7 linked regions of the Mus musculus genome follow. The protein of the gene in region 1 interacts with the protein of each later gene in a biochemical or structural test. Links are inferred from orthologs where the notes say so. Each region holds a gene or a part of one and is shown on either strand. Other genes may lie near its edges. The genes, in order: Parp1, Ep300, Casp3, Erg, Macroh2a1, Hmga1b and Pias4.

Region 1 (3,720 bases):
GTCGCAGTGCCCAGGGATGGCCCCAAGATCAAGGCAGCCCCTCACTGACCCCTAGTGACCTGATCTACAAGGCCTACACTAGGGGCTGGGTATCATAATACACATCTTTAATCCCAACATTTGGGAGGCAGAGTTAGAGGCCAGTCAGCCTGATGTACATAGTGAGTTACATAATAAAGGACCCTCCTCCCAAAGAAAACCCAGAACACCAGCAACAATAAAATCAAGCCCTTGCATTGTGGAAGGAGACAATCAACTCCCACGTTCTTGGATCTCTAAACATGCCCTATGGAACATAGTAGTGTACACGCGTTAATAAGTGAATGTAACTTTTTAAATGTAAGCTAAGAAAGCTGTTAAGATTTTGACAAGAACTGATCTCAGTTGGGGGTCTCATCCTTAGGCTCAGAATGAGCTGATCTGGAATATCAAAGACGAGCTGAAGAAAGCGTGTTCCACCAACGACCTGAAGGAGCTGCTCATCTTCAACCAGCAGCAGGTGCCGTCAGGAGAGTCAGCGGTGAGTGCCCCTGCTGTGGGGACACACAGGAGGGAAACCCAGGCTCCATGACGGTGGAGCTTATCCTGAGCTGCAGGATATTTGATCACCTCCAAGATTATGTCATTTGCTTGGAAAAACCTGTTTCTAGTTGTGGTGTGGCTCATCCCTAACACCTTTAATCCAGGAGCTTTCTGTATACTGTAAGTAGGATTAAGTAAAGTCAGCCTTAGGTCAGAGGTAGGCAAGCAGCCAGATGACAGGAAGTGAACATAGGAAAACAACAGTAAGAGGGAGTCGAGAGGACAGATAGAAGGCTGTACGGAAGTAGAGGGCAGGACACTGAGTGTGAGGGGTTTTTGAGATGGCGAGGTGTCCTCAGCTGAGGAGGGTGGTCTCCTAGGTGCTTTCTCCGCCTCTCTGAGCAGCAGAGAAAATCCAATGTTTAATGAGATTTTGTTCAAAACAATCATGGTCACCATCTCCTTCAGCCAGTAGGCCACCCCAGCCATACCATACATTGCCATGTTTGTCCTGGTTTAGAACCCGGTGAAGTACCAAGGTAGGCAGGTGCCCTTGCCGTGGATTTAGTTCATACTCTTCTGAGAGCTGCTCTCTGCTGCTACATGTCCAGGCCTGCTAAACCCACCGTGCCTACTTGGGCCACTTGTGTGGTGCAGTGCTTGCGGTAGGACCCTTCACTTGGAGATAAGGATTCAAAACATACAAAACCCAGGCTGTGTTGTCACCTGGCACCTGGGCTAAGGTAGCGCCCAGAGACAGCCTCTTTGCAGGGATAGAGCCTGTGTGAGAGTTTCTCCATCTGCATTGGTAACTGTCCTTTCCTGAGCCCTGGTCTCTGGCATGTTTCTTCAGATCTTGGACAGAGTTGCTGACGGCATGGCGTTTGGGGCCCTTCTGCCCTGCAAGGAGTGTTCAGGCCAGCTGGTCTTTAAGAGCGACGCTTATTACTGTACTGGGGATGTCACTGCCTGGACCAAGTGCATGGTCAAGACACAGAATCCTAGCCGAAAGGAATGGGTAACTCCAAAGGTAAGGTGGGGAGCTTCCTGGACTCTGTCAGCAGGAAACCATGGCTCCCTCCACCTTCTGGACATGGCCATGCTGCATGTCACACAAGGTGACAGTCCGCGCGTTTCTCACCCTTTCTCATATCAGTACTGAGGAGAGAGTTCTCTGTTCACTGCTGTAATTCCACCCTCCCTTCCAGTCTTTCTCCGCCTATAGCCATTCTGTAGCCTGCCTGTTGTTCTCTCACCTTTAGAATCTCAGCCTGTCTGCTTTCCTCCCTCACATAGCATTGTGTGCCTGTTACTGCCTTTGGTGAGGACAGTTGTAAGATGACACTGAGCAGAATTAGCCATCGATGCAGCCTGCCTGCTTATGTCTTTTGGGGTGGTGCTGCAAGATCCATTACAGCCTGGTGATGCTTGCTGTCCCCTCCTGGCTCTTAGCTGTACTCAGTTCAGACAGGACTGCTTTCTTGAGGGCAGAAATCCTCTATCTAACCTGCTTATGCCACCTGGCATTGGTGAGGGTAAGTCTGAGGTGTCTGGCACCTTGCTTACCATTCACTGAGTGTGGGCACAGCTGGGAAAGTTACCCTTCTGTGTAGAGACTCGAGCACAGGGGTTGCTCTTCACCAGACGTCATCAAGTGGCCAACCTCCGTAGGGCAAGGCCTACTGTAAGTCTCAGAATAATTATGATAATAATTAATGATTATGATAATAATGACTAATTCCCAGTGAATGCAAGAGGGCTCACAGCAGGCTCTTCCCTAACGAGTGAGTGACTTATTAGCCTTGTCTCCTTTGGGAAACGTGAAGATCTGTCACTGGGTGTGTTTTGTTGCTTGGTTTTGGATCCTGCATACCCTCCGCAGCATAAATTCCCTGCATCAGAGTGGTGCACCCTGGGAGTTGATGAGCCTGCACTGACACAACATCACCCAAAGCCCATAAGTTACATTAAGGCTCGCTCTTGGCGTTGTGCAGTCTGTAGGGTCTGATAAACATAGAATGGAACGTACCCATCAGGAAAGCATCATTTACAACATCTGTTCCCTAAGACTTCCCATGTTCTCTTTGTCTTTCCACTTCCAGCCTCTGGAAACCACTGATCTTTTTTCATCAGCTCCATGTTTTCCTATTTCTAGCACTTCTATAATGTCCTGTGCAGCCTGTTGGGCTGGCTTCCTTTACTTGGGGGAACGTGTAGTAAGGGTCCCCTGTACCTGGGTAGTTCCTTGGATTTTGATGTTTAATAATAGTTCATTCTATCTCTTTGTAGTCCTAGCTGTCTTAGAGTTCACTATGTAGACCAAGCTGGCCTCAAACCTATAAAAATCTGCCTACCTCTTCCTCCTAGGTGGTAAGATTAAAGGTGTGCACTTGTCTGTCACCTACCCTAACCCTGGCCTAAGTGTGCTACTCTTGGGGGCTTTTTAAACCATGTGGTAGCCCCTGATAGCACATGATAGACACTTGAGAGAAGTGACTTGGGGACAGGATGGTCCCAGTATGCCTCCTAGGTCTAGTGATGCTTCCCCCACTAAGTTGTCAGCTAAGGTTTTTATTTTGTTTTAAAATATTACCCTTAGTTGAGGAGGGGCACATGTAGAGGCTGAGGACAGCTTGTGGGAGATTCTTCCACCATGTGGGCTCTGGGCCAAACTCCATCCCTTGGTTGGCAGCACAAACTGATCACCTCGCTGGCATTTTATTCCTAAAGGGTGAGGTTTCTCACCTAGGTCACCCGTAGCACCTGGATTATGTAAATGTAGGGATGAGCCCTGTGAAAACAACAGTATATACGCTTTCTTCCTGGGAACTTTAAGCCTTTCCTATTTAATTATAGGGATTTTTAAAAGATTATTTAATTTCACAGGACAAATCCCACTTAATCTATTGTAAGTTTATTTTAAGAGACCTCTAATGTCTTTAAAACTAAAACTTAACATTGTTTAGGAATTCCGAGAAATATCCTACCTCAAGAAGTTAAAGGTCAAAAAACAGGACCGAATATTCCCTCCAGAAAGCAGCGCCCCAGCACCACTGGCACTGCCCCTCTCTGTCACCTCAGCACCCACAGCTGTGAACTCCTCTGCTCCAGCAGGTATGGCTCCGGGAGGGATTATGGGTGGGGTGCCATGCAAGGACATAGCAGAATGAGGAGGATGTCCTGTGATCCATGTACTGT
Region 2 (3,720 bases), on another chromosome or scaffold:
TAGTTTAGAAACTATCAATAATAATCTTGCTTTGGACTAGAGAATTGGCACAAGGTTTAAGTACACTCACTGTCTGCTATTCCAGAGGAACGCCAACAGCTCACAAAGAAAAAAACTATAATAAGCCAAAAAATGCCAAGTGGTGGTGCACTCAGGAGGCAGAGACAAGCAGATCTCTGAGTTCAAGGATAGCCAGGGTTACATAGTAAGATCCTGTCCAGAAAAACAAACACATGCATACATATATATGTACATGCATACATACATACAACAAATAATATCCTTGTTTAGCTGGTGATTCAGAATATCAATATTACTTTGTTGGTCCTAAGAAAATGAGCAGAATCTCATATCAACTTATGTCTTGTTCTTAAATTCAACAAAAGTATTGAAATATTATATTCACAGGTTTGAATCAATTTGGGCAGATGAATATGCCACAGCCCCCTATTGGACCCCGGCAACCCTCTCCTCTTCAGCACCATGGACAATTGGCTCAGTCTGGGTCACTCAATCCGGTTAGTTTTATCCTTTCTACCCTTTAAAAAAAATTCTTTTTTCTTTGTTACAACTTCAGGAAACATTACTGTCTAAGCAGAACACGTTTTAGTTCTTGCATGTATGTTCTTCCATGTGTGTTCAGTGATCAAAGTGAAGATTCTCAGTCTTAGTTACAAGTACCTTTTATTTCTGACACATGTTGACCACATGAGACCTCTTTTAATAGTGTAATTTTCATATATTTGGCCTTTAATATTACATAGTATAGCTTAGAATGTATCTCAGTAAAAGAGCACGTAGAAGACTTGGTTGTCTCGTTAGCACCATAAAATAACCTCCAATCCCAGTTAAGTAGACTGTATTTTATAGATGAGAGTACGTTTAGTTGTTAGTCATCCAGGATTTCACTATGTAGCTCTTAACTGTCCTAGAACTCTTCATGGAAACCAGTCTGACTGCAAAGTCAGAAATCAGGTTACTGCTCACTTCCAGAGTGCTAGGATTAAAGATGTGTGTTATCATGCCTGGCTAAATACAAAATCTGAAAGAACTGGAGGGTCAGGAATTAATATACAACACAATTGATTTGTGCTGGCGAGATGGTGTGAAAGTATAAGCAACTGAATCTTAGATCCCCATCAGCCCATAAAATCCAGGCTATGGTGGCATACACTTTGAACTCCAGTGCTACAGTTGGAGATTTCTGAGAGCTCACGGGCTGTCCATCCCAGCCTAAAATGTGAACTCCGGGTTCTATGGGAGGCCCTGTCTGAGAAAATGAAGTGGAGGACCTGGGTAAATAGCTCAGGTAGTCGGAGAGTTGTTGCTTTTCTATAGCATTCTGGCTCAGTTGGTCAGTGACGTTATATGGTGGTTCACCAACATCCATGACTACAGAGCTAGGGTGTATGTTAACATAGTCTGACTTCCATGACTACCTGGAATGTGTGTGATATACATATGTACATGTAAGTAAATCATACACATAAAATGAATCATAAAGTAGCAATAATATGTTTTTAAAAACAAAATGAGGTAGAGGGAAAGTAGAAGGTATATTCCTATTGCTATGGTAAAATACCATGACAAAAAGCATCTTAAGGAAGAGTTTTATTTTGGCATATGATTCCGGGGACTAGACATGTATAGTGGCATGTTAGGTATGGCAGCAGGAGCACAAATCTTGAGATGTAAAAGGGGATTGTAAGTCTATAAACTCAACACTCACTTACTGACATAGTGTCCAAAAAGGCTATATTTGCTGAAGATTTCATAATAGTGCCCCTAGCTGGAGACCAGATTTTCAACTGACCACGACTGTGCAGAGAGGTTTCTCATTCACATTACTGTAATTTCTTATTTCTCCATACTTCCTTTTATTAAATGTCTAGACTCATGTAAGGCAGTTTTAGAAGAGAAAAGTTGTTTGTTTCTTGTCAGAGTTCTAGATATCTTGGAGCCCTGTGTCCCTTCACCTTCTTCTTTCTTGAGGTTGTGTTTGGTACTTACAAGCCTATTCCTATTAGTTTTTACATGACTACAAGTTCTTTCACTTACACCTTAGGCTTCTCTTACCCAAGCTATTGTCTTTTATTTTTCTCTATGCAAGAATCTGGATAGTAGGGCAAGAGTGATTGCTAATTACAGTTGGAAAATAATTATAATGAAGCAGTTGGTGACCTATGGTTTGTTGTGTTTCTTTCTTTTTGTTTATTTGCAGCCTATGGGCTATGGACCTCGCATGCAGCAGGCTTCCGGCCAGAACCAGTTCCTCTCCCAGACTCAGTTCACATCCCAAGGAATGAATGTAACAAACATGCCTTTGGCTCCATCCAGCGGTCAAGCACCAGTGTCTCAAGTATGTTTATTTAAAATTATGCTTAATGTGCACATATAGCACACATACAGGACAATAGTATGTACCCGACTCTCCTTCTTCCTCTCTGTGGTGTCTGAGAGTGTATGCAGATTTCCAGGCTTGGCAGGCAGAGACATTCTTTCCTGCTGATAACAATTTTCATGAGAAATAGTCTATATTTTCTTTTGTTCAAAGACAGGTCTCACCATTTAACCTTGGCCTTTAACTCAGAGAACAAACCTTTACTTCTTAGAAATATTTATTTGGAGTTTTGAGACTAGATCTCATGTGGTTCAAGCTGGTGCCTGTGACTCCAATTCCAGTGGGTTTGATTTCCTCTTGTGGCTGCTTTCTAGTCAGGCATGCACAAATCCTAATCCTGTAGGATTTTCAATGTTCCCCCTTCTTTGAAAACTGATTATGTTCAGGCATACATACTTTTAATCCTTGCTCTGGAGACAGGGGCAGGTGAATGGATCTCTCTTAGTTAAAGCTAGCCAGGTCTATATAGCAAGACCTTGTCTCAGAATGAAAAATGTTAGATACTGTTTTTTATTTATACTTACCATGTGTACTAAGTACTATATGTTCTGCCTTTGTGATATCATATATTTTTCGTTTTCACAGGCACAAATGTCCAGTTCTTCTTGCCCAGTGAACTCTCCTATAATGCCTCCAGGGTCTCAAGGGAGCCACATTCACTGTCCTACTCTGCCTCAACAAGCTCATCAGAATTCACCTTCTCCTGTTCCTAGCCGCACCCCTACTCCTCATCATACCCCCCCAAGCATAGGGAATCAACCACCACCAGCAACAGCAATTCCAACACCTGTTCCTACACCTCCTGCCATACCACCTGGACCACAGCCCCCATCTCTGCATCCCTCATCTAGACAAACACCTACACCACCAACACATCTGCCTCCCCAAGTGCAGCCTTCACTTCCTGCTGCTCCTTCTGCTGACCAGTCCCAGCAACAGCCTCGGTCACAGCAGAGCACAGCAGTTTCTGTTCCTACCCCAACAGCACCATTGCTGCCTCCTCAGCCTTCCACTCCGGTAAGTAGCTGTGTATTGGAGTGTCTGTAGAACAAGTTAAGCTCCAGCAATGTTTTTGTTTTTCTTTATCATGGTTTTGTTTAGTTTTGCTTCCCATTTTGCTTTATTCTATGTTCTAGGGTAAAAAAGTATGTCATCACAATATACTTTACATACATAAAAACATTTTGAAACAGATTAAGTTGCAGTACTGAGAAATTAAACTAAAACATTATGGGACTAATTACACGTAAACACACAAGTCAGAGGACAACCTGTAGCAGTCGGTTCTCCTCTCTACCAGGGATCAAATTCTCTAAGGA
Region 3 (4,481 bases), on another chromosome or scaffold:
GTATACTGTTTCAGGTGTTGGTTCTTTTCCTCCTCCCTGGTCTCCCACCCCAAAGAGCAAAACTCTACCAGATAAATGACCTTCACACCATTTTTACAAATGATTAACTTATCATGTAATTGCTATAGTAATTTAGCTTATGAAGGCTAAGTCTTCTTGCAGATGTAGGCCCTAAAACGTTTACCTATTATACTTCTAGTTCAGTTTTCTCGCCAAATGGAAGAGAGTGACCACGCCCCGCTTTTAGATCACTTCAGAAAGCCATCTTACTCCAGCTCCTGGAAAGCAGTCACATTGCTTTTCATGAATTCTTTCTCTCTTGAGGCCCAGAACGGCTTCAGGTCCCTCTGGGTCCCCATTTACAGGGCGGCTTCAGGTCCCTCTGAGTCCCCACAGTGAGGAGAAATTACAGGGCTTAGATGAAAACTATCACCTCCAGATGTTTTGCTCTAACGAACTTCTCTAGATGAAGTCAACATTAACGGCAGGAAACTGCTGAGGATACCTTATCTAAGGTATCACTTTGTTAAGAACGTTTAGCACAGGGAGGGGTCCGGGCACAAGGGGTTTCTCAATTAGACCCTTCCTTGTGAACTACAGCCTCCACGATGCACTGCGAGGGTTGAATGCATCCTACTGCTAAAGTCCAACAGAAAATGGCTGATTCTAACTTACTTTGGGAGGGATAATGATAGATCAATTTGTTTCTGGAATCTACATTTAACCACTATGGCTCTTCATGAGAGCAAACCACTTATCTTTTTCTTTCTTTTTTTTTCCCCCCCAAGACAGGGTTTCTCTGTGTAGCCCTGGCTGTCCTGGAACTCACTCTGTAGACCAGGCTGGCCTCGAACTCAGAAATCTACCTGCCTCTGCCTCCCAAGTGCTGGGATTAAAGGCGTGCACCACCACTGCCCGTCCACTTATCCTTTTAAAGCCTTTGATGGAACTGGAAAAAATAAAAAATGTATTATGGAAATGCAAGAGCTTGAATTCCACACGCAACGAACGGTAGACATCTGTGTGGCTACGTGTACGTCAGTCCCTTACATCCAACGAAGCAAAGGCGGTGAAGGCAAGAGGCTGCTCTCTGGAGTACATTTGTCCTTAAGAATATTCTGGGCCCCTGAAATTCGATGCTGATCGCTGTGCTCGTGTTTTCGTATATTATGCAAAAACAAAACAAAACAAAACCCACTTCCCAGAGTCAGAGTCTGAATGAAATAGGACGTAAACCAGTCAGAGATTTCAGTAAGGTAGTCAGGACCTCTCACTGAGGGAGCAAGAGGTGGACGGAAGTGAAGAAAGGCCTCGGTGCAATTGAGAGGAAGTAGAATTACCGAGTGCGGGGCACAGCTCTATTTTCTCCTGCCAGAGTTCTGACTGGCAGAGGCGCCTCCCTAGACGCCCATCTTGGCGCCCCCGGAATCAGGCGTGGCCGAAAGACCTCTCTAAAATTTACCTCAAGTGGCGCAAGTCGGCCGGAGGCGGCAGCTGGCGGAGCCAGAGATGGCGGGAACCAGAGCTTGAAACCCGCGCGAGGGGGCGGAGCCGGAGGGGGCGGGGCCCTAGGCTTGCCCTGGGTGGGCGGGGCCTGCGCTACGAGACGGGGCTCAGTCGGGGCTGAAACCACCAATCGCGACTGGCGTGTGCGAGATGAGGTGTTGGGGGGTGTGTGAGGGGGGATGGGGCGGGGAGGTAGAGAAGGGGCGTGGCGTGGGGCGTGACCGGCGGTAGTCTGCTGTTGCTGCTGCTGCTGCTGCAGTTGCAGTGTTGGTGCTGGTGGGATCAAAGCGCAGTGTCCTGCGGCGGGGAGCTTGGAACGGTACGGTGAGTGTCTGCTGCTCTCGCGCCTTCGAAGGCCTGTGTTGTCCCCCGGAGCTGGCGCTCTTTTGGCGGGTCTGCAGCTCCTTGGAGGAGGCGGGGGAAACGGGCAATCTGGGCGGAGGATCCTTTGTGTTGCCTCCAGGCTTGCTCAGGCAAACACTGAAGGCAGAGAAGCTGGAAACAGCGCCGGGAGCGCGATCCCGAGCTGAGAACCCAGACCCGGGAGGCCAAACCGGTGTCCCTAAACCTGGGTGAGCCGGTGCGGTGTCCCTAAACCTGGGTGAGCCGGAGCGGGTTCAGACCCCTCGAGCATGGCACACGGGCCGCGCTGAGGCTTAAAGGCGGAGTCAGGGGGGTATCTGGAGATCGCCCGGGGTACAGAGCTTCAGGGGCGGGAGGGGGTGAGGCCATAGTGTGGGGGTGAACCTGGAAGCCGAGTGGCGGGAGGTGGCGGGATCCTGGATCTGCAGGCCGAGGTGTGGACTCGGTAGCAGAGGATGGATAGGGGAAGTTCTGCCCTGGGGCCTGGAAGCTAGGCTGATGCTGACCTTGTGGCGGCTCTAAGTGACCCAGCCTCCCTCTGTTACAAGAGCATTTGATCTCCACCTTTAGTTTTCTCCAGTGCACTGTGATTTTTGGTTCTTGCGGAGAGCTGATTTTAAGCATTACTCCTTGAATACTCCAGCTCATTCCTTTGTTGGTCAAAGTCACTGTAGGAGCTTGCATTGACATCTCTTGAGCCATGCTCGGTTACTGTCCCTTCTTCGCGCTTATTAATTAGTCTGTGAAGTTCGACTTGAACAGCAGGGTCTTTACCTCATTCTCCGTTGAGTCACCCAGGAAACGTCCTTCTCAGGCACCTCTTGTGGACCCAACTTCTTCCGCCGTTAGTCCCCGAGCCTTGTAGACCTACGAGTCTGACAGATTTGTACCTGGCCCCTCTTCGGAGTCTTGTGGACTTTCTACGTGTCTGCCAGACTTGTGCCCACCTCAGGGAACTGAAGCAGCCTCCTTGCAGGTCTCTGTCTCCCGCCCAAGACCCCTCTCCAGTGCTCTCTTTAAGACACGAACAAAAACAGTTTTCTAGATGTTCATGTTTACCCTGAAGGCTTAAGTGTAAAACCGTATCCTCTAAACCGGGTTAGCGAAGCCAAACCCTGGGTCTTGGCTGTCTCCCCCCGCCCCCCCCCCTTTTTAGCAGAATGAAGAAGCTCTCCAGGCAATATTGGATACTGTGTCCTTTTCGGGTTTTCTTTCCAGCCCTCTGAGTCCACTGGCTCACCTTTTCTCCCCCTGAGACATTAGCTTATGAACAGGAGCTGCTACGGAGGTTTCCCTTAGTTAGCAATTCCTAGCTGAATCTTCCCATTCCTCCCTTTGCGGCAGGCATTTCCTGAAAGCAGCCGTGTCATATCCTCTACTTTTGCTTGTTTATTGTTTGCCTACCGAACTGTGAGCAAACAACAGTAGGCTCGAACTTTAGCTTGGCTCCCTTCCTTACTGGCTTTTTTTTTTCCACAAGTGACTACTCAACCCATTGGGGTGGGTGGGAAATGTGGGGCCATCGTTACAGTAAGAGTATACACAATAGCAGAGGAGATGCTAAGCTGGGGGTTTGGCCAGCCTTTGGGAAGTTACTTTGGATATGTTAATGGTGGCCACAGGCAGGAGCCCTAAGTATGGAGTGTAGAACCCTGTGACAACCTGGTGTTGAAGCTTTAAAGAATGGCTTTGTTTTGCTGTCCAGTAGACTAAGGCTTTTGGAAAGTGAGAAGGTGTTTTTTTAGTGAGTGGAAGTTTATTGAAATGTAGCCATCGAACTGCTACAAAGTAACAAGTGAAATCCTGCACCTAATTAAATCAGGTTGCTTTTGTGGTCCTGCAGAAAGGTTCTGCCTCCTGCTGTTTTAAGTAGGAATTCTGTATCTTTATCTGATAGAAGCGGGTCCAGGGCCACTCTATGGTTTCAAACCTAGCAACACATTCACTTCATGCGCTTTCTAAAGTTACAACACAGTCTTTTCTTCAAACACATTGCATTAGTTCTGATCTTCGTGTTAGATAATATTAAAGTTCTACCCCAGTGATAGAGGTAGAATACGATGTGGAAATTCTTACATTCTTGAGTACTGTTTTATATATAGTCATTTAACAGATTAAAAAAAGTTTGGAGAGGAAAGGGTATTCCATCATCATCATCTGACTGTCTGAGGCCAGGAGCCCGGGGCCTACCAGCTTCTTCATAAATAAAGCATAATCTATATTGCTCAGAGGGTTGTGTAAAGATCAGATGAAATAGTATGTGTGACATTCTACATAATAGTCCTTGTTCTGGTCTCTTTGTTTTGGCCTTCAATATTACCTGGGGAGGGTCTTCATTCTGCTAAAGTACAATGAAATTATCTAGTAAGAACAGAACATGGACTGCTTAATGTCTACCTTGCTGCTGTTTTTAAATGCCAGTGAACATACATAACAGCTCTGGATAGGGGTAGAGTCTGCCTCTTCCACTACTTCATACGCTCAGGGTTTAATGAAACATCTTCATACAGTTGATAATCAGTAGATTACATAGTTATCTGTAATTTTTATAAAAGACATCAAGGATCTTCCACTCTATACTTTTATTTCAACAACAACAAATTGTTTTCAAA
Region 4 (3,720 bases), on another chromosome or scaffold:
CCAGATTGTCTTCAACCTGGATGATGGAGATCTGTATGGGCCCGGCTCTTTTAGGTCACCCCCCAGGATTCTGTTTGTCTTGCTGTGACTCGCTGAGCTTGGCCTCAGGCTTTTGCAGTCTGGAGAGGGTGGGGGTGGGAGGTTAGGGGGGGGTCCTACGCTGGGGCTGACTGGGCTGCCCTCAGATTTGCCTTTAGGAGTTGATGGCGTCTGCCTTCCTCCCCTTTTAGATCCTACTCTGTGGAGCACAGACCATGTCCGACAGTGGCTGGAGTGGGCGGTGAAAGAATATGGCCTCCTCGATGTGGACGTCTTACTATTTCAGAATATCGATGGGAAGGAGCTGTGCAAGATGACAAAGGATGACTTCCAGCGGCTCACGCCGAGCTACAATGCCGACATTCTTCTCTCACATCTCCACTACCTCAGAGAGAGTAAGTATAGCTGTCACCATGGCTGCAGACCCAACCTCAGTGGGTTCAGACAGGGTGGTCCCGGGATCCTCTTGTCTGACCTGAGAGGACCACACAGGTCAGTGTGTGGAACTTCATGAGGTAGATGAACAACGCAGTCTCTCCTGGGTTCCTAAGACCAGGACGATGGAACGTGGGTTCCTAAGACCAGGACGATGGAACATGGCAGAGAAGTGGCCACCTTCACTACTTTCCATGGTGCCCAAATTGGAAGGCAGAAAGGACTCCTTCTTGCTGGGGATGTGCTTAGTTAATTCTGCTGAGCGGCACGAAGCCCCTCCTCCCATCCAACCTGACCACAGAAGGGGAGGTTTTTTTTTCCATTTTCTATGGAGAGAATGGGTGGTGCGTTAGTCAGCAGTGGCGTGAGCCTGAAGGACTGCTGCGTGATCTAACTCTGACAACTCTGAGCATGGTCTGAAAGGATCCCAACTTTAACAGGGTGGCGCATCTCCCTTGCTGTTGTTGCCTGGCACCCATACACTTCTCTCCTGTGTGGGGCCATCCCATTTGGTGTTTAAGGTATTTCCTATATCACAGGGTTTAGATGGTTCTAGCAGCCTCCCCTCCCCCCGTGCTATGGCAGGAGGTGTATATATTTTCTTCTTTTTTCCTTTTAATTCCATTTTTTTTTTCAAGACAGGGTTTCTCTGTGTAGCCCTGGCAGTCCTGGAACTCACTCAGTAGACCAGGCTGGCCTCGAACTCAGAAATCAGCCTGCCTCTGCCTCCTAAGATTAAAGGCATGCGCGCCACCACTGCTCGGCCCATTTCTCTTTCTAGGAAGCTTGTTCTCCATCTCTTTATCTCAGTGCTGCTCTGTGTCTTGTTTTGCAGCTCCCCTTCCACATCTGACTTCCGATGACGTTGATAAGGCTTTACAAAACTCTCCACGGTTAATGCATGCCAGAAACACAGGTAATGCCAGCCCCTCTGATCCCCAGGGCATGCTTAGGTTCCTACCTACAGGTGCATGATTTAAAGTGAAACTCACAGGTTAGGGGTTAGAACACAGATGTGGGAGCGAAGCCATTGGGTACCTGAACAGTTCCCATTATTTCCACCATAACCCCGTAGGCCGAGAAAGGATTGTTTTTTTAACTATCATTCTGATCCCCCAGCATGCCCCAGTGCACCAGCATCATTGCCTATGGAGACCAAAAGCTCTCTAGTATAAATGGCCTCCAGACCTATTGCTCTCCATTTTCCTTCCTAAAGCAATGCCTTCTGGGACTCCTTGGTATTTTACAGACAGCTCTGGGTGTTGGACTTGCCTTGGTTTTATATTCTGCACAGATTTGTATGTTTGCAAAGGGCAGTGGGAGGAATATATCACACTTTATATAAACCTGAGGGAAACTCTTCTGCCATTTCGGAGAATACACAGCTGGCCCCTGGCCCAGCACCTGCCTTCCTGTCTCTAACTACAGGTTCTATCTACACTTGTGTCTATCGTATGCTCGAGCCTTCCAGGGCTGGACAAGGCACTTGGTCCTGATTCACCTTCCCTCCATCTCTCAGTGTATTTGGGGTTCTCTTTGTATAAACGTGTTACCTATGTTCCAAGTACACATCTACCTCCTGTCCTGATGGCCTCACTGGTGGATGCAAGGCCATTTGCTGATCACCCACTGGATTAGCCAAGGACCACTTCTTGCCACACCCTACCAGCCCCCAGCTAGGGATGAAAGCATCAGGGGAGGTGGGGAACCTCTTATCCCTTGCAAGCAAGCGAGCCCAACCACTGCTTGCCCTAACTGAGTAAGATAGCCGCTTACCAGTCATTCTCCTTTTACTTTTAAATGTCCAGCATCTTATGAATTGAGCCTCAGTCTGCTCACTTGTAATAGGTAGCTGGTTTACCTTGGTCTTCAGTATTCAAAACCAGTGTGCTTTTCTTAAACGTGACGTGAGGTGTTCTAAGCTCCCCCTTCTCTATCTGTATCGAACATATGAATATGCTAATGGTCTTGTGGCCAAAATTAGCAAAGAACTTGGTAGAATCAACCTGTCTCAGGAAACACCCTAGAGCCTCACAGGCTCTTAACATTGCATGCATTTAGAAATTCTTTAACAGTGACTAAAAATTCCGCAAAAGTTCAGAGTTCATTGATTTTTAAAAAAATTATAGCCAAATATAGAGACAATCAAAGGACAAGGATGATAAATTTCTAAAGGGCTGAATGTCAAAGCGGAAACCTCCTCATCTGGGGAGGTGACCATTGGTTGAGGAAAATACGGAGAATCGTGTATTTGAGTGGGGGGGTGGATTGATTTTTTAATACAGTCCATGTAGTCTTAGGCAACGTGTGTACACCTCTTTCCAAAATCTGTTCAAATAGTTTGTGAATCATATACAATTGGCAATAAATATAATAATATCTGTGCCACAGATAATTTTAAATAAACTAAGATTGCCAGTGGGACACGGGTGGGGCTCTGTCAAGAAGCCCACAAAGAAATAATAAATAAACGCAGCATAATATTTCGTGCATGAGGGAGATGCACTCCTGTCTGAGCAGAGCTCCTGTTTGCCATGAGCTCCACTGAAGTTTCAAGGCCCCCCCACCCCCTGACATCACAGGGCGAGGTGCTGTTGCTCAAGCTGAAAGTCACCACAAAGGACCTTCACACTTTGTCTTTCCTTTTGTCTGCAGGGGGTGCAGCTTTTATTTTCCCAAATACTTCAGTATATCCCGAAGCTACGCAAAGAATTACAACTAGGCCAGGTATGCTAACACCCTATGTGATTGCTTCATTGAGAGACTCCCAGATGCCCTGCTTAGGCCCAGGACCCCAGCCCGTGACCCCAGGAGCATGCTCTGGACCTGACAGGCAGTGCATATAGCCAGTCTTTTCCCTGGCCCTGTCAAAGGGCAGTTGAGATTCAGAGATGCTGTATTCAGAGTCCACAGCTTGGCTCCTCTACTGTGGACTATGAATACAGCAGAAATCAGAAACAGATCAGGGCCTTAAGTAGTAGTTTCAAGTGTTTGAGCCAATGCCTAGGATAGGAACCCCTTGCACTCTCAGTTAAGGGGAGGATTGATGAGCAGTCTGTCCTTTTGGGTGAGAAAGCAATTCCCAAATCGCTGATGACTGATTCTCATCACTACGCGAGAAGCCATTTTTCAGAGGAGAAGCATCTGGCATATAATATTTACATCGGCGTCATACTTTATGTCTTTTCCGATGATTGAATTAGGTAATTAATCTACATATCATTCATGCAAAAGTAAACATTTACC
Region 5 (4,282 bases), on another chromosome or scaffold:
TTCTTACTGAAACTCGCTCTTTTTAAAAGGTTAGATGGACTTACTTTATTCTGTGTGTTTGAGTGTTTTGCCTACTTGTGTGTATGTGCACCCCGTGGTGCCTGATATTCATGGATGTCAGAAGAGTGCACTGGAGCCCCCCCCCCCCCCCCAGTGGAGTTATCAGGACCACACAAATGAATCCTGGGAACAGAATCCTGGCCCTCTGCAAGAGCACGAAGTGCTGTTATACACGGAGCCATCCATCTCTTCAGCCTCAAGACTACCAAATACACCCCTGCTTACCTTTCCTAGGATTTTTTTTTCCTACCTTGTTTCCTCTGAGAATTTATACTCTGTAATGTGTGATTCCTTTGTCTCTTGCCTTTCTTTTCCCACCAGACTGTAAGCTCCAGGAAAGCGGGATGGGGGTAGGGTGGAGTGGGGTGGGGTGGGAGTTGCCAGTTCTGTTCACCATTTCACAACTACACTCAAGTTTATGCATGGTGTGCAGAATGTCCCAGATATTTACTTGAAATAATGAATGCATGGGCCAGGGGCTTTAGACAATGCTTTTTGTGTCTATAAAATGCGCTAGGGTTGGAGAGATGGCCCAGCTGTTAAAGGGTCACAAACCAAAAACCTGCTAATATTCTAGTGTAGCCTGGGCCTGAAGGAGAGTCTTTAGTTTTGTGGATAGATGTTGCTGCCCTTTCTCTGGCTGACACCCACCCCACCACCTTAATATGTAATAAAAGTATCAACTGTTTAAATCAGTAAGTCTCCACTTGGAGCCAGTAGTCAACAAACGTTTGCTTGGTGGAGGTAGCTAACCGATTCCACGAGCAAAGCAAGACCAGACTTTGAGGCCAGCTCTGTAGAATCCCACTGATCAAGGGAGTTGAGCTACGGTAGCTGATCTTGGGGCACACAGCTGCCTTGTATTTAAAAAGTCAGGAGGCTGGATTGAGGCGCGGAGTTGGTGCTGACCGGGCAGAAGAAGATCCCTGGTCACAGCAATTGTTCTACCCTCCCTCTTTGTGGACGAGGCTACTGGGGACAAGGGGACACCAGACACACAGTAGGTGCTCACAGCAGACGCTTGCAGAGCCGCGCTACCTACAGGCACCTTTCTGAGGCCGGACCCCTGCAGCTCCCGCGCGCAGACCGATGCCTGGGGGCGGGGGGGGGGGGCGGCGCAGAGCACCAAGGCCTGGGTACAACCGAGGCTGGCGTCGTTGGCGTCCGCGGCCCGAGGCAGGCCGGGGTCAAGGCCGGGGCGCCGAGTGGCGCGGGGAGGGGTGGCCGGACGCGCGAGGCCGGGAAGGGATGTGACGAGCGGCGCGCTGTGCATTGTGGGAATCCCGGGGCCGCCGCGAGTGGTTCCAGTTCACTGGTTCCAGCGGAGCCGGGCGGAGGGCGCGAGCGCGGGACGCGCGGGCGGGAAGCGAGGAGGCGTGGGCGGCCAGGCAGGAGTGCGGAGCGGACCGGCGCAAGCGGCCGACCGGCCTCGGGCCCCTCACCGTGCAGCCGCCCGGTAAGTGCCGCGCGGGCCTCGGAGCCGCAGGCTGCCGGTCCGCCCCGTCTGGGCCCCGCGCGCCCGACTGCTGCCGCGCGCGGGGCACTGCCTGGCGCCCGGGAAGCTCCGGCGGTTACCCTCGGACCTCGGGCCGCCCGGAGTCCGCCAAGGCCCTGCCCGGGGCAGCGTGCGGGTCCGGATGGTTTTGTTCGGAAAGCAAACCCGGAAACCAACTTCGCTCGGAGACGCACCCCTACCCCCGCCGGGGCGCTTTGTGGGCAAGGGGCTGATCGGGTCTCCCCCTCTGCCCGGGAGGGAGAGCCAGGGATGGCGTGGGCCCGAGGGCACCGAGGCCCGGAGGCCGTGACCAGCCGTTCCGCCCGGGCCCGGAGCTGCTGTGCTCAGAGTTTACTTGCTCGTGCGCCGCCGGCCCGCGCGTGCCCTCCCGGGCACAATAAAGTGGGGCGCGAGCCACAGGCCGTTGTGAGGCCGGCTGGTGGGGCACCCGCCGCGAGGCCTGAGCAGGCGAGGCCTGGGGACCACTCGCGGACGGAATCCCAGGCCGGGGCGGGCTGGAGAGGAGCTATGGAAGCCCCGCGGCTCTCGCTCGCCTTTTGTTTGCTTTGTGCTGGGGAGGTGTTATTTTTAAGGTGACTCTGGAAGACTGGAGGCTCCCCGCGCGCAGAGGGACAGCTGAGAGTCTCTGGGGGTGGGGTGAGTAGAGATGGGAGGCGCGGGATGCTGCTGACGGTGTCACCTGACAACAGGTGTGCAAGATGCTGAGCCCAGCGCCCACTCCTGCAGAGACCACCGATATCTCACTGCTGGGCAGAAGATTGCTTGAAAGAGTCTTTGAAGAAATGCAGGGGAAAGTGTTTTCTAGGTTTGACGGTGTAACTTTTGAACAAGCAGTTGAGGCAGATCTCGTCTCCAACAATTACAATCATTATGAAGTCTTTGTAAGATTTTAACGATCTAATAAAACAGCTTAGAAGAATAGACAATTAGAGGGGTTCTCCTCTTCGGTTTCCCTCTTGCTGACACCTCTGTGGTTTGAGGTTTTACTGTTAAAAGAGAGGAAGTGTTTTGTTTGTAGACACTGCAGCATGGAGTCCCAGTTTTGAAAGTCTGTGCTGGAGTGGAAGACAAAAGTCCAAACCCAACTAAATTTCCTGTAGGTTCACCTTAAGGTGTGCAGTCAAAGTTGCGGTTAGTTCTGAAATGGACACCCTCATACTCGCTACTGGAGTTACTACAGCTTGTCCACAATTGACCAATTGAGCAACAGCAACTGGGCTTACACACAACCTCTGACTCGATCAACCTTTTCAACTTGTGGGGATTTTTTCCCCTTAAGGATGAGGAGTCTCCCGAGATTTTAAACTTTCCCTCTTTCTCATTTTGCTACGAGCTAGGTCATAGTTTTCACCAGGAAGGGAGAGCTCACACTGTATCACACTGAGATTGGTCTGGAAATTCACATATGATAACTTCCTTACTGGCTTACTTTCTACTACGTGGGCCAGCTTTAGGGAGTGGTACAGTTCAGTCTGCCATTTTCTCAGGTCCTAGAAAGCCATTTCTGCCTCCCCTAGGGACAAGCTTGGAGCTGATGGTGCCCCAAGTCGATGAAAGATTTATTTAAAGAGAGAAACTACTAATCTGTATGTGATGTTCAGAGGTTTGCAGTAGCCTTTGGCTTTTGATGGGCTTTTCAGAGCCCATTAATGAAATATGAAATGGGAAGGGGTGGGGCTGAGGTGGACCCTTACCTGTTAAACCCACCACCTTCGTTCTGTAGGCTTAGGGGCGGGGGCTCCTGCTACAGCTCCTGTAAGTGCAGCTAAGTGGGCCAACTCTTCATTCCAAAGAGTCCTATAACTTGCTTGCTGAGAGCAGCCCTGCCTGGTTGGTGTCTTACTAGTATGTCCCCAAAGGTGATTATGTCGGGGTTAGGAAATAATCATGAGCAAGAAATGCCAGGCCCTGCCCTGGAGAGCCGGCTGGACATCAGTAGAGGAGGGACAGTTGTGTAAGTGGGGTTGAGCTCCATCTGCCTTGGAAAGATCAAGGGGGGGAGTTTGCTGGCCAAAGCAGGACAGATGGGGGCACGTGACCGAGGCCGGAGAAACCACGTGTGCCAGTTGTAGAAGATAACCTGTGAGGGAAAGCTAGAGGCTCAGGGTAGCAGGGTCAGGCGAGGACAGGGGATACTCCACGGAATCCCATCAGAACCACAGCTGATCCTAAGAGCAGCCAGGAACCCCCAAAGGGATTTGAGCAAGAGAGGAGACAGAGAGCAGTGGTCAGGCCTACTCTCACTCTTAGTTGGGATCCCTGTGTAGCAAATACCTGGAAGCTTCCAAATACTTGGCCTGGCTCGGCTCTTGCTCTCTTAAGGTCACATATTCTTCTAATGGCTTTTTTAAAAAAAACTTTTTTTTGGAGCTGTCATAGCACAGTCTTTACCGGGGGTGTGGAGGGGGAGGAGATAGTGGCAAAGCTGCCTTTACAGTGCAGGACCCGTCCCTCCACAGAGCTCAGGAAGTACAGTGCAGTCGGGCCCCAGCTACAAGCTGTTTCCTGCTTGCGAGTGGTACTTGGGTTTGGGGTTTGCTTTTCCTCCACCACTAGAAGTGGGACATGAGCAGCGTCCGTCTGTGTGCCCCAATCTCTTCTGTGTGCAGCCCCTCCTTTGGTTGTAGACTGCTCACTCTGTGATTTAGTGTTTGATGGATGGGGAGAAATCCTTCCTGACCGACTAGAGTACAAGGACTGGTTCCT
Region 6 (3,644 bases), on another chromosome or scaffold:
GAATAAGAGTAGTTTTAGCCCTTGCCGTGAGTAGTAGTAGAGTAGTGAGTAGTTTAGCCCTTCCCCTAAGAAGAAGCTGCTGGGGAAGAGAGCTGTAAAAGAAAGAGCCTGAAGTAAAGATGTTGCTGCATGAACCCGACTTGGTGCCTGTGTCGTTCTTGTCACCACCGGCTCGGAGTGGAGATGACGACAGTAGGTAGGTAACTCAGCTGACTTTTGCGTCTTCTGGGCTCTGATCTGCAGTCTTTCTTCTTTGCTGCTTGGTTTGTCTGAGAGAGACTCTCAGCTTTTGTTGCTTACCCTGACAGCAAGGGATCTTGTGAAATTGGTCAGTTTCAGGAACTTCCTGAAACTATATGAGTTGTTTGCATCCCTACTTAAGGAACTTCCATGCAGGATGGGGTGTTTTAATTTCAAAGGAAACTGTTATACAACAGTCCTCACATAATGTTGTAGTTAGGGCTCAGCACATGACTCTGGATAGAGAAGTCTTCAGACAACATAGGTGACAGGAGATAGAGCAGGAGCTGTGGAGGGTGAAGACATCTTAGGAGAAATGCGCTCCTAAGGGCGAAGCTAGCAGATGACTGTCTTCCCAAGACGTTGGAGCTTGATGCTCCCTTCCTGGTAAACCACTTCCTCCTGCCTGGTGGCCAACTGGCATCCCTGAAAGGCCACCATTTCCCAGGAGTTCCGATGGCCACCAGACAGCAGGTTGGTCACAATCCACAGCTTTTGTCATAGAAGGGGAAGGGCTTTGATCTTACTGGATAGATCAGGCCAGACACCAGTATTCAGTGCCACCTGGAGGTTGGCTATAGGACTTGGTGGTTTGCTCAGACTGGGATCAAGGACACAGTGAGCAGGCATGATCTGTCCCTGTTAGCTATGAGGAAACTGCCAGGCAGCAGCAAATGATTGGGCTCCGGGCCCCCACTGTGTATGCTGTCCCCTGAGCCACAGGAAGGTCCCAGAGCACCCTTCTGACCAGTGCGGAGGAATGCTCAGGGGAAGGGTACTGCTGTCCCTGCACTATAGAGCACTGGAAGTACAGCTGCCTCCTTTCAGCGACTCACACGGTCTCAGTGCAGAGCCTGGACTGAGCAAGGGAAAGGCGGCAGTCTGAGCACACCTCCTCCCCAGGGCTGTCCATGAGGCATCTGAGCCTCCTGCCCGGCCCAGATGTCGTGTGACCTGCTATGACTCACTGGATCGTGAGTACTTGTTCCATGAACCCTGACACACAAGACAAGAGACCCTCAGCACACCTCAAACAATCGCCAGACACGGGTTGAGGTGCACAATATTCTCTGATTACTCCTAACTGGCTCCAAAGAACCAGGTCTCTGCTCAGAGAAGAGGAGATGCACAGAGGTACTCAGGGTTTGCAACTGGGGCAGGAAACCCCAGAATCCATGCTTAGATTTACAAGAGTCGCCTCTAATTGGGACTCCGAGTCGGGGCTATTTCTGGTGTTGGCGCGGCTCCAAGAAGGCACTCACTGTGTGCTGCCCCACACATAGAGAAGGAGAATGAGCGAGTCGGGCTCAAAGTCCAGCCAGCCCCTGGCCTCCAAGCAGGAAAAGGATGGGACTGAGAAGCGAGGCCGGGGCAGGCCACGCAAGCAGCCTCCGGTGAGTCCTGGGACGGCGCTGGTCGGGAGTCAGAAAGAGCCCAGTGAAGTGCCAACTCCGAAGAGACCTCGGGGCCGACCAAAGGGAAGCAAGAATAAGGGCGCCGCCAAGACCCGGAAAGTCACCACAGCTCCAGGGAGGAAACCAAGGGGCAGACCCAAGAAACTGGAGAAGGAGGAAGAGGAGGGCATCTCCCAGGAGTCCTCTGAGGAGGAGCAGTGATCACCACTCGCAGTGCCGCCTGCTCCATAGCCACTGAGGAGCAGCTGTCCCCTGGGACTGGAAGCCCTGCTCCCAGGCCCCTCCCCGCCCCCACTGCACACTACCGCACCAGGCACCAGCTGCAGGCTCTGCTCCGCAGCACCCAAGGGAGCAGGATTCGGCTCAGTCCCTGTGCCCTCCTCCCGAACACACCTGCCCCATCCTGACAAGGCTAACTTCCCATTTAGCCGCAGCCCGGCCTGCTGCGCACCTCCCTCAGAGCCGTGGCTCTCTGGGCGCTTTGTTTTGCGGGTCCCTTCTGCCCTGCTGTTCCTGGCTTCCCCGTAGAGGGTCCTGGGAGCATTCCCTGGCCTTAAGGGGCCCCGGCCCCATCTCACTCTGACAAGGCCCAGTGGCTGACCTAGCAGCAGCAGTGTGGTCAGGGCAGGGGATGCTTAGATCCCAGCATGTCCCCACCAAAGTATCACCGGGTGGGTTTCTCAGCCCCTCCTGCCCCACCCTACAGAGATCATGCACTGGGTTGGCTGAGCCCCTTGACAACAGGAAGTAGGATGATGTTGGCTCCACCCACTTTAATGTTCTCACCTGAGACTAGACAGATGGGGTTACCGCCCATCTCCAGAGTAAGGGCCTGTTCTCGCCTCCACCAAAGGCAAACGGGCACCAACACGCCTCCCCCAGTCCACTCTAGGCTGTTCCTTCCTCCCGCAGGGCACTAAGGAGCTAGCCTTGCCGCCCCCTCCTTTTCGCTCCTCCCTGCCCCCCATGGTTCTGGTTCCATCTTCTCCTCTGTTCACAAACTACCTCTGGACGGTTGTGTTGTTTTTTTTTTGTTCCATGTTCATTCTTAGATACCCACTATTGCTGCTGCTACCAGCGTCAGATGTTCATCCTCCTGAATTTGCCTGTATTCTCTCCCCCACACAATACACTCGAGGGGAAGGGGGGCTGGGGCGCAGCAGACTGGTTACCTACCCCACACTAAGGAAGATGGGGCCCCACCCCGTGGATGCTGCAGCAGAGTGAGGATGGGGGCCCACTTTGATGGGAAAAGGGTGTAGGGCCACCTCCCCTTGTTCTGTGGGGGAGGGGTGGCCAGTATTTGTCCCAGCCTGGGGCTTCCTCCCTGGTTTCTTATTTGCAGTTACTTGAATAAAAAACAAATAGCCTTTTCTGGACAGTCAAAAAAAAAAAAAAAAAAAAAAAAGATTTACAAGAGTCCTGCCTCAAAGTAAAGACGGTGCCTCAGTGTCTCTGCCAAAGGCGGAGTTCCTGGCTGGTACGGGGCAGCAGGTGAGGGGCACCTGGGAGGAACAGATTGAGGGGAACAGCCAGGGGACTCTCTAGACACACTGCAGGCATGGTGGGTTCTTGGGTCCCTGGGCATTGGAATCCAGTGTGCCTGCTCCAGCTAGATCACATCACTACCTTCATTTATAACAACAAAACAAAAAGTCCCAAGCTGATGCTTCTGTCCAGATAATTCCAAACCCAGCAATCTCACTGCCCTGGGCCGAGGGTGTGGCTCACATCACCGAGCATCACTGATGGGGCACCGTTGGCTTAGTATGCTCTCAGGCCCTGGGTTCAAGACTCCACATCTCATTGCTGAAAATTCAGATTCCTTCTTTAGGTTGCCCCTTCCTTCCCGCTACACTGCTGTGTCAGACCCTCTCACAGGCACATGTGTGTGCACACATGCTTCCACTGCTTTGTCAGACGTTCTACATGTGTGTGCACACTTCTTCTCATTGGCTCGTTTTGTTTTGTTTTGGTTTGGTTTTTTGT
Region 7 (4,332 bases), on another chromosome or scaffold:
TAAACATGAGCCATAAAATGCACCAGAGCAGGAAGCACATACACCTTTAAGACCACCCTCCCCACGTGGGCGCGGTCCAGTCCTCCCAATGAAACGGAAGCAAGGGGCGGTGCCGTTCTCGCTTAAAAACCCAGAGCGGGGCTAGAAGTGAGCGTGGCCCCAGTGCAAGCTTCGAAAATTTGGGGGTTGGGTGGGGCTTGTGGGTAGTTAGAAAGCCAAGGAGGGCCCCTGAAATGGTGATCGCCCAGAAGTCTATTAGGAGTTCGATCCACAGAACTCATTTTGTGACACCTGGTTAAAGGAGAAAGCAATTCCAGCAAATTGTCCTCTGATGTCCACCTAGGGGGCTTGGAACGCGCGCACCCACACCTATTCGCGTTAGTCTCTAAACCTGATGACCTGAGTTCGATTCCCTGAATCCATATTGTGGAAATATACAAACCCCTTAGATTGTCTTTGGACGATCAAAAATTGCGTGTCTCCCCCAGTATATAAATAAAACAGACCACAGAAAAGTGGGCGTAGCCTTGAGCCAACAAATAAAGAAGGAAAAATGCAGCTAGAGGGGCTTCTGTGCCCTAAAGAAGCAAGGCTACGCAGGGCTTGGTTATGTTCATCTTTAATCTCAGTTCTCCGGAAGCAGGGGCAGGAGGATTTCAGTGAGTTTGAGGCCAGTCTGGTCTACAAAGCGAGTTCCACAGAGCCAGGGCTACATGGTGAACCTGTCTCAAAAAACAAAAACAATTTTTAAAAACCCACAACTGTTGCCACCGCAAGCCAATTTGAAAACGAGGCAGGGGGTTCGGCCTGTACTCTACAGAAAAGGTGGGGCCAGTAAGAGAGGGAGCAGGGCAAAGGGTATATGGTTCAGGCACTAGCTGGTTCATCCCTGCTACCTACACAGTGGAAGGAGAAAACCTAATTTCCTAGACTGTTTTGTGACTTTCACATATGTACACACTAAATAAACACAAAAATTTAGCGGTTCTCTAAAGCAAGAGAAATGAGGCGGCGGGAAGTGCTGCTATTTCTTTAAGCAGCAGACTCCTCCCCAGAGTGGGCGTGGTAGCGGCCAGCGCCTTGAAAAATAACCGTGGGGGGCGGGATTTGGCAATTGTCCGTTGTGATTGGTCAGATCCTCGGGCGGGGTTCCTGTAGGCGCGTGCGCGTGATGCATCCTCCCGCCTCTCAGACGCGGGGGCGTGGAGGAAGGAGCCAGCACTCGCTTTTACTGGCTCTCGCGCAGGCTCCGCCCTTTAGTCGAGGGCCCTCACGTGACGCGACGGCTGGGGCCTCCCGGCGCGGGGGACGCTAGTGGCCAAGATGGCGGCAGAGCTGGTGGAGGCCAAAGTGAGTGAGCGAGAGTGGCTCCGGCCGGGACAGGCGGGTGGCGGAGTACGGACCGCTCCTCGCAGGGAGCTGGGAGGGCGGGGTGTGGCGGCGCGGGCGGCGAGGGTGCGACTGGGACGCGGGCTGAACCTGCGGGCGGGGGGCGGGGAGACCGGGGGCGGGGTCGCCAGCTCCCTCCTGGGGTGTCCCCGCCGTCTACTGTCACTTCTCTACTGACCCTAGCAGGGGTTCCCACAGTGTGGCTACACAGCTTTCCCGGTGCAGGCACTGTCCTCTCCTTTGGGTTAGCTCTGTTGGGACATAACTGGGGGTCCTTCTGTGGTCTGGGAAGCCGAAGGAATGCAAAGTGACTTCGCCATCAGGTTTCCAAGGCAACGAGTAGGACTCAGGTCCGGGTGCCCCCCCTCTTTCCTCCCCCACAGGCCTGCATGGGGAAGGTCTACAGGGATTGCCACAAGTCCTCTGATTCTCGGGGCTCAGACTGACACCTTCTGACTCCAGACTCAGGCCAACTATAAGTGCCCAAGTTCATTTTAGAGACTCAGCCCTCGAGTCCCGCTCCCCACTTGTCAGCTCTGGGGTACCTCTTCACTTCAGCCTCCAGTGATCCTGTCTCACTCTAACCCATCTCTAACCTGTGAATCGCCTTGTAGAGTTTCTCTGCTGCCTGGCATACTGGACCCACCACCTCCTTGTTATGTGTTCCTCAGATTGATCCTCACAGGACACCTTGACTGAGTCCAGGGGAACATTGTTTAGACTTGTTCCCCCATTTCTGCATTAAGGTACCAGGGCTCTGACCTGACTTGAGTCCCCATTAAACCCTCTTGAAGTACAGCTTGGCTTAGCCTACATCCAGTTCTGCTCTGTCTCCCTGTCAAGGTTCCAGCACACTTGTCCCTCCAGAGTTATTGGAGTTCCTCAGTCCCCCTCAAGCATCTTCCCACCCATAAGATTCAGACTTGCCCCCCCCCCCCCCGTTTTTCTGCCTGCCTTGTGACATGGTCCTTCCCTCCCCACTGGGACCCTTAGGGTTATTCTAGAGGATCTGATTAAAAGGTGTCGTCCTCACCAGGCATGGTGGCACACCTTTAATCCCAGGGGTCTGGAGACAGAGGGAGGCAAATCTCTGTGAGTTTAAAGCCAACATGGTCTACAAAGTGAGTTCCTGGACAGCCAGGGCTCCACAGAGAAATCCTGTTTCAAAAAATCATTTAAAAAAAAAAGTGCAGCTGGGCGTGGTGGCGTACGCCTTTAATCCCAGTGCTCGGGAGGCAGAGGCAGGCGGATTTCTGAGTTTAAGGCCAGCCTGATCTACAGAGTGAGTTCCAGGACAGCCAGGGCTACACAGAGAAGCCCTGTCCTGAAAAACCAAAAAAAAAAAAAAAAAAAAAGTGTACCCCTCTTTCTCACCATTTACTCACCCCAAATCTACACCATTTACATAGTGGTTTTCTCTTGGGAAACAGAACTTTGAGATGGAGATATGTAAACTATGATCTGGAACGCAGGAGTTTTTTTTGTTTTTTATTTGGTTTTTTTGAGAAAGAGTTTCTCTGTGTAGCCCTGGCTGTCCTGGAACTCACTCTGTAGACCAGGCTGGCCTTGAATTCAGAAAATCGCCTGCCTCTGCCTCCCAAGTGCTAGGATTAAAGGTGTGGGCCACCACGCCCGGCTGGAACACAGTTTTACTCCTTGAAGTCCCCCTTGTACCATCCTAGAACATTGGGGTGAGGCCAAAGACTCTGTACCTTCATCCCCCCTCAGTGAGAAGGGCTGCGATTGCTTCTTTGCGGTCTAGATTCTTTAAATAAAAGCTGATGACCTCTACTTGACTCTCTGCCCCCTAGACCTCCACCTCCACCTTAGTTAGGTGAACTTGACTCTTCTTTGAAACTCTGAAATGGTCCAGAGGACTCCTGTCATGGCCCCTCACAGTGTTTTAAGAATGATAGCAATACCTCCACTTTTCTGGTAGCTTTCCTCCAATCTGTCCCAACAGGCCAGAGATTCTGTCTTTTGAGGCATCCTGGGGTTTCCAGGAAGCGAGATTGTGGTGTTTGTGGATGAATGGACCATGCTCCATCATCCTGTGGGTGAATGGTGCCTGCAGCAGGCTTGGGGCCAAGCCTTCGTCCTTTGCCCCTGTGTTGGGCATCTCAGCTTTCTAAAGAGCCTAGGCTAGTGTCACAGCTAAGTACAGCCACTTCTCTCTCTGTGTTTGGGTTGTCACTCCACATCACACCCCAAGCTGAATCTCCAGAAGTCATGGTGCTGATGCTGTTTATAAACTCGGCCCTGGTAGTCTGTGCCAGGGCGGGAAATACACTCCGGGTGATGGATGGAGGCTTCTTCCTGTGCGTCTGTCCCCATGCCCTGCTGTTCTCCAGCAGGCTGCTCAGGCCATAGCAGCTGCTGAGAAACCTGACCCAGACCATATGGCAGCGACCTGGCTGCTCAGACGCTTGCCATCAGTCCTGGGTGGTGGAACTCCGTGATTACCATTGGAGCTGCAAAGCTCTCTGACTTTAGCTGGACCTTCGAGGGCACCTACCTCACTGTGCCTCTCTCCTGAGTTGTGAGGATTTGAGTATAAATGTGCTGTGTGCTGTTTGTCTCTGCATGCGGTAGGAAGTGAAGGCCACATTGGGAGTGCCCAAGGGCCGCATACCCTAGAGTCCCTGAAGAGTTGGGGCTTCCCTACAATCCTCTAGAGATCTGGGAAGCCTGGTAGCCACCAGGCCAAACTTGAGCCCACCCTGTCATACTGGGAGTACTTAAGTCATGCTGAAGTATCTGGCACCCCAAGTCTCTGGTGTTTTTTGGAGCTTCCTCGTAGGGACTCAGCAGGTGAACATCCAGTGGGATGATGACCCCTGGGCTGGTCAGGTGGGCTTTGACACTTCGGGTATGTGTCCCAGCCCTGTGGAGGTCCCTTTCTACTTTTCATTCAGTGGAGGCCAGCATCAGGACTTAACACAA

The links.
Region 2: the proteins of Parp1 (region 1) and Ep300 form a complex in vitro, tested with the Homo sapiens proteins (2 studies listed by BioGRID, with this or other methods). The link is inferred for Mus musculus from reciprocal best matches to the Homo sapiens genes PARP1 and EP300.
Region 3: of the proteins of Parp1 (region 1) and Casp3, one has a biochemical effect on the other in vitro, tested with the Homo sapiens proteins (9 studies listed by BioGRID and IntAct). The link is inferred for Mus musculus from reciprocal best matches to the Homo sapiens genes PARP1 and CASP3.
Region 4: the proteins of Parp1 (region 1) and Erg form a complex in vitro, tested with the Homo sapiens proteins (2 studies listed by BioGRID and IntAct). The link is inferred for Mus musculus from reciprocal best matches to the Homo sapiens genes PARP1 and ERG.
Region 5: the proteins of Parp1 (region 1) and Macroh2a1 form a complex in vitro, tested with the Homo sapiens proteins (2 studies listed by BioGRID). The link is inferred for Mus musculus from reciprocal best matches to the Homo sapiens genes PARP1 and MACROH2A1.
Region 6: the proteins of Parp1 (region 1) and Hmga1b form a complex in vitro, tested with the Homo sapiens proteins (2 studies listed by BioGRID, with this or other methods). The link is inferred for Mus musculus from reciprocal best matches to the Homo sapiens genes PARP1 and HMGA1.
Region 7: of the proteins of Parp1 (region 1) and Pias4, one has a biochemical effect on the other in vitro, tested with the Homo sapiens proteins (3 studies listed by BioGRID and IntAct, with this or other methods). The link is inferred for Mus musculus from reciprocal best matches to the Homo sapiens genes PARP1 and PIAS4.

What each region holds. Positions count from the first base shown.
Region 1 is NC_000067.6:180,582,355-180,586,074, forward strand, and holds part of Parp1 (poly [ADP-ribose] polymerase 1), read left to right. Parts: intron 1-403; coding exon 404-520; intron 521-1,375; coding exon 1,376-1,552; intron 1,553-3,488; coding exon 3,489-3,636; intron 3,637-3,720. UniProt on the Homo sapiens protein: Poly-ADP-ribosyltransferase that mediates poly-ADP-ribosylation of proteins and plays a key role in DNA repair.
Region 2 is NC_000081.6:81,624,117-81,627,836, forward strand, and holds part of Ep300 (histone acetyltransferase p300), read left to right. Parts: intron 1-408; coding exon 409-518; intron 519-2,221; coding exon 2,222-2,359; intron 2,360-2,986; coding exon 2,987-3,418; intron 3,419-3,720. UniProt on the Homo sapiens protein: Functions as a histone acetyltransferase and regulates transcription via chromatin remodeling. Acetylates all four core histones in nucleosomes. Histone acetylation gives an epigenetic tag for transcriptional activation.
Region 3 is NC_000074.6:46,615,672-46,620,152, forward strand, and holds the start of Casp3 (caspase-3), read left to right. Parts: upstream 1-1,619; 5' UTR 1,620-1,830; intron 1,831-1,952; exon of another isoform or gene 1,953-2,107; intron 2,108-4,481. UniProt on the Homo sapiens protein: Thiol protease that acts as a major effector caspase involved in the execution phase of apoptosis. Following cleavage and activation by initiator caspases (CASP8, CASP9 and/or CASP10), mediates execution of apoptosis by catalyzing cleavage of many proteins.
Region 4 is NC_000082.6:95,376,782-95,380,501, reverse strand, and holds part of Erg (transcriptional regulator ERG), read left to right. Parts: intron 1-230; coding exon 231-434; intron 435-1,309; coding exon 1,310-1,390; intron 1,391-3,129; coding exon 3,130-3,201; intron 3,202-3,720. UniProt on the Homo sapiens protein: Transcriptional regulator. May participate in transcriptional regulation through the recruitment of SETDB1 histone methyltransferase and subsequent modification of local chromatin structure.
Region 5 is NC_000079.6:56,132,580-56,136,861, reverse strand, and holds the start of Macroh2a1 (core histone macro-H2A.1), read left to right. Parts: upstream 1-1,311; 5' UTR 1,312-1,516; intron 1,517-4,282. UniProt on the Homo sapiens protein: Variant histone H2A which replaces conventional H2A in a subset of nucleosomes where it represses transcription. Nucleosomes wrap and compact DNA into chromatin, limiting DNA accessibility to the cellular machineries which require DNA as a template.
Region 6 is NC_000077.6:120,761,357-120,765,000, forward strand, and holds Hmga1b (high mobility group protein HMG-I/HMG-Y), read left to right. Parts: upstream 1-1,437; 5' UTR 1,438-1,532; coding exon 1,533-1,634; coding exon of another isoform or gene 1,635-1,667; coding exon 1,668-1,856; 3' UTR 1,857-3,036; downstream 3,037-3,644. UniProt on the Homo sapiens protein: HMG-I/Y bind preferentially to the minor groove of A+T rich regions in double-stranded DNA. It is suggested that these proteins could function in nucleosome phasing and in the 3'-end processing of mRNA transcripts.
Region 7 is NC_000076.6:81,164,703-81,169,034, reverse strand, and holds the start of Pias4 (E3 SUMO-protein ligase PIAS4), read left to right. Parts: upstream 1-1,314; 5' UTR 1,315-1,323; coding exon 1,324-1,350; intron 1,351-4,332.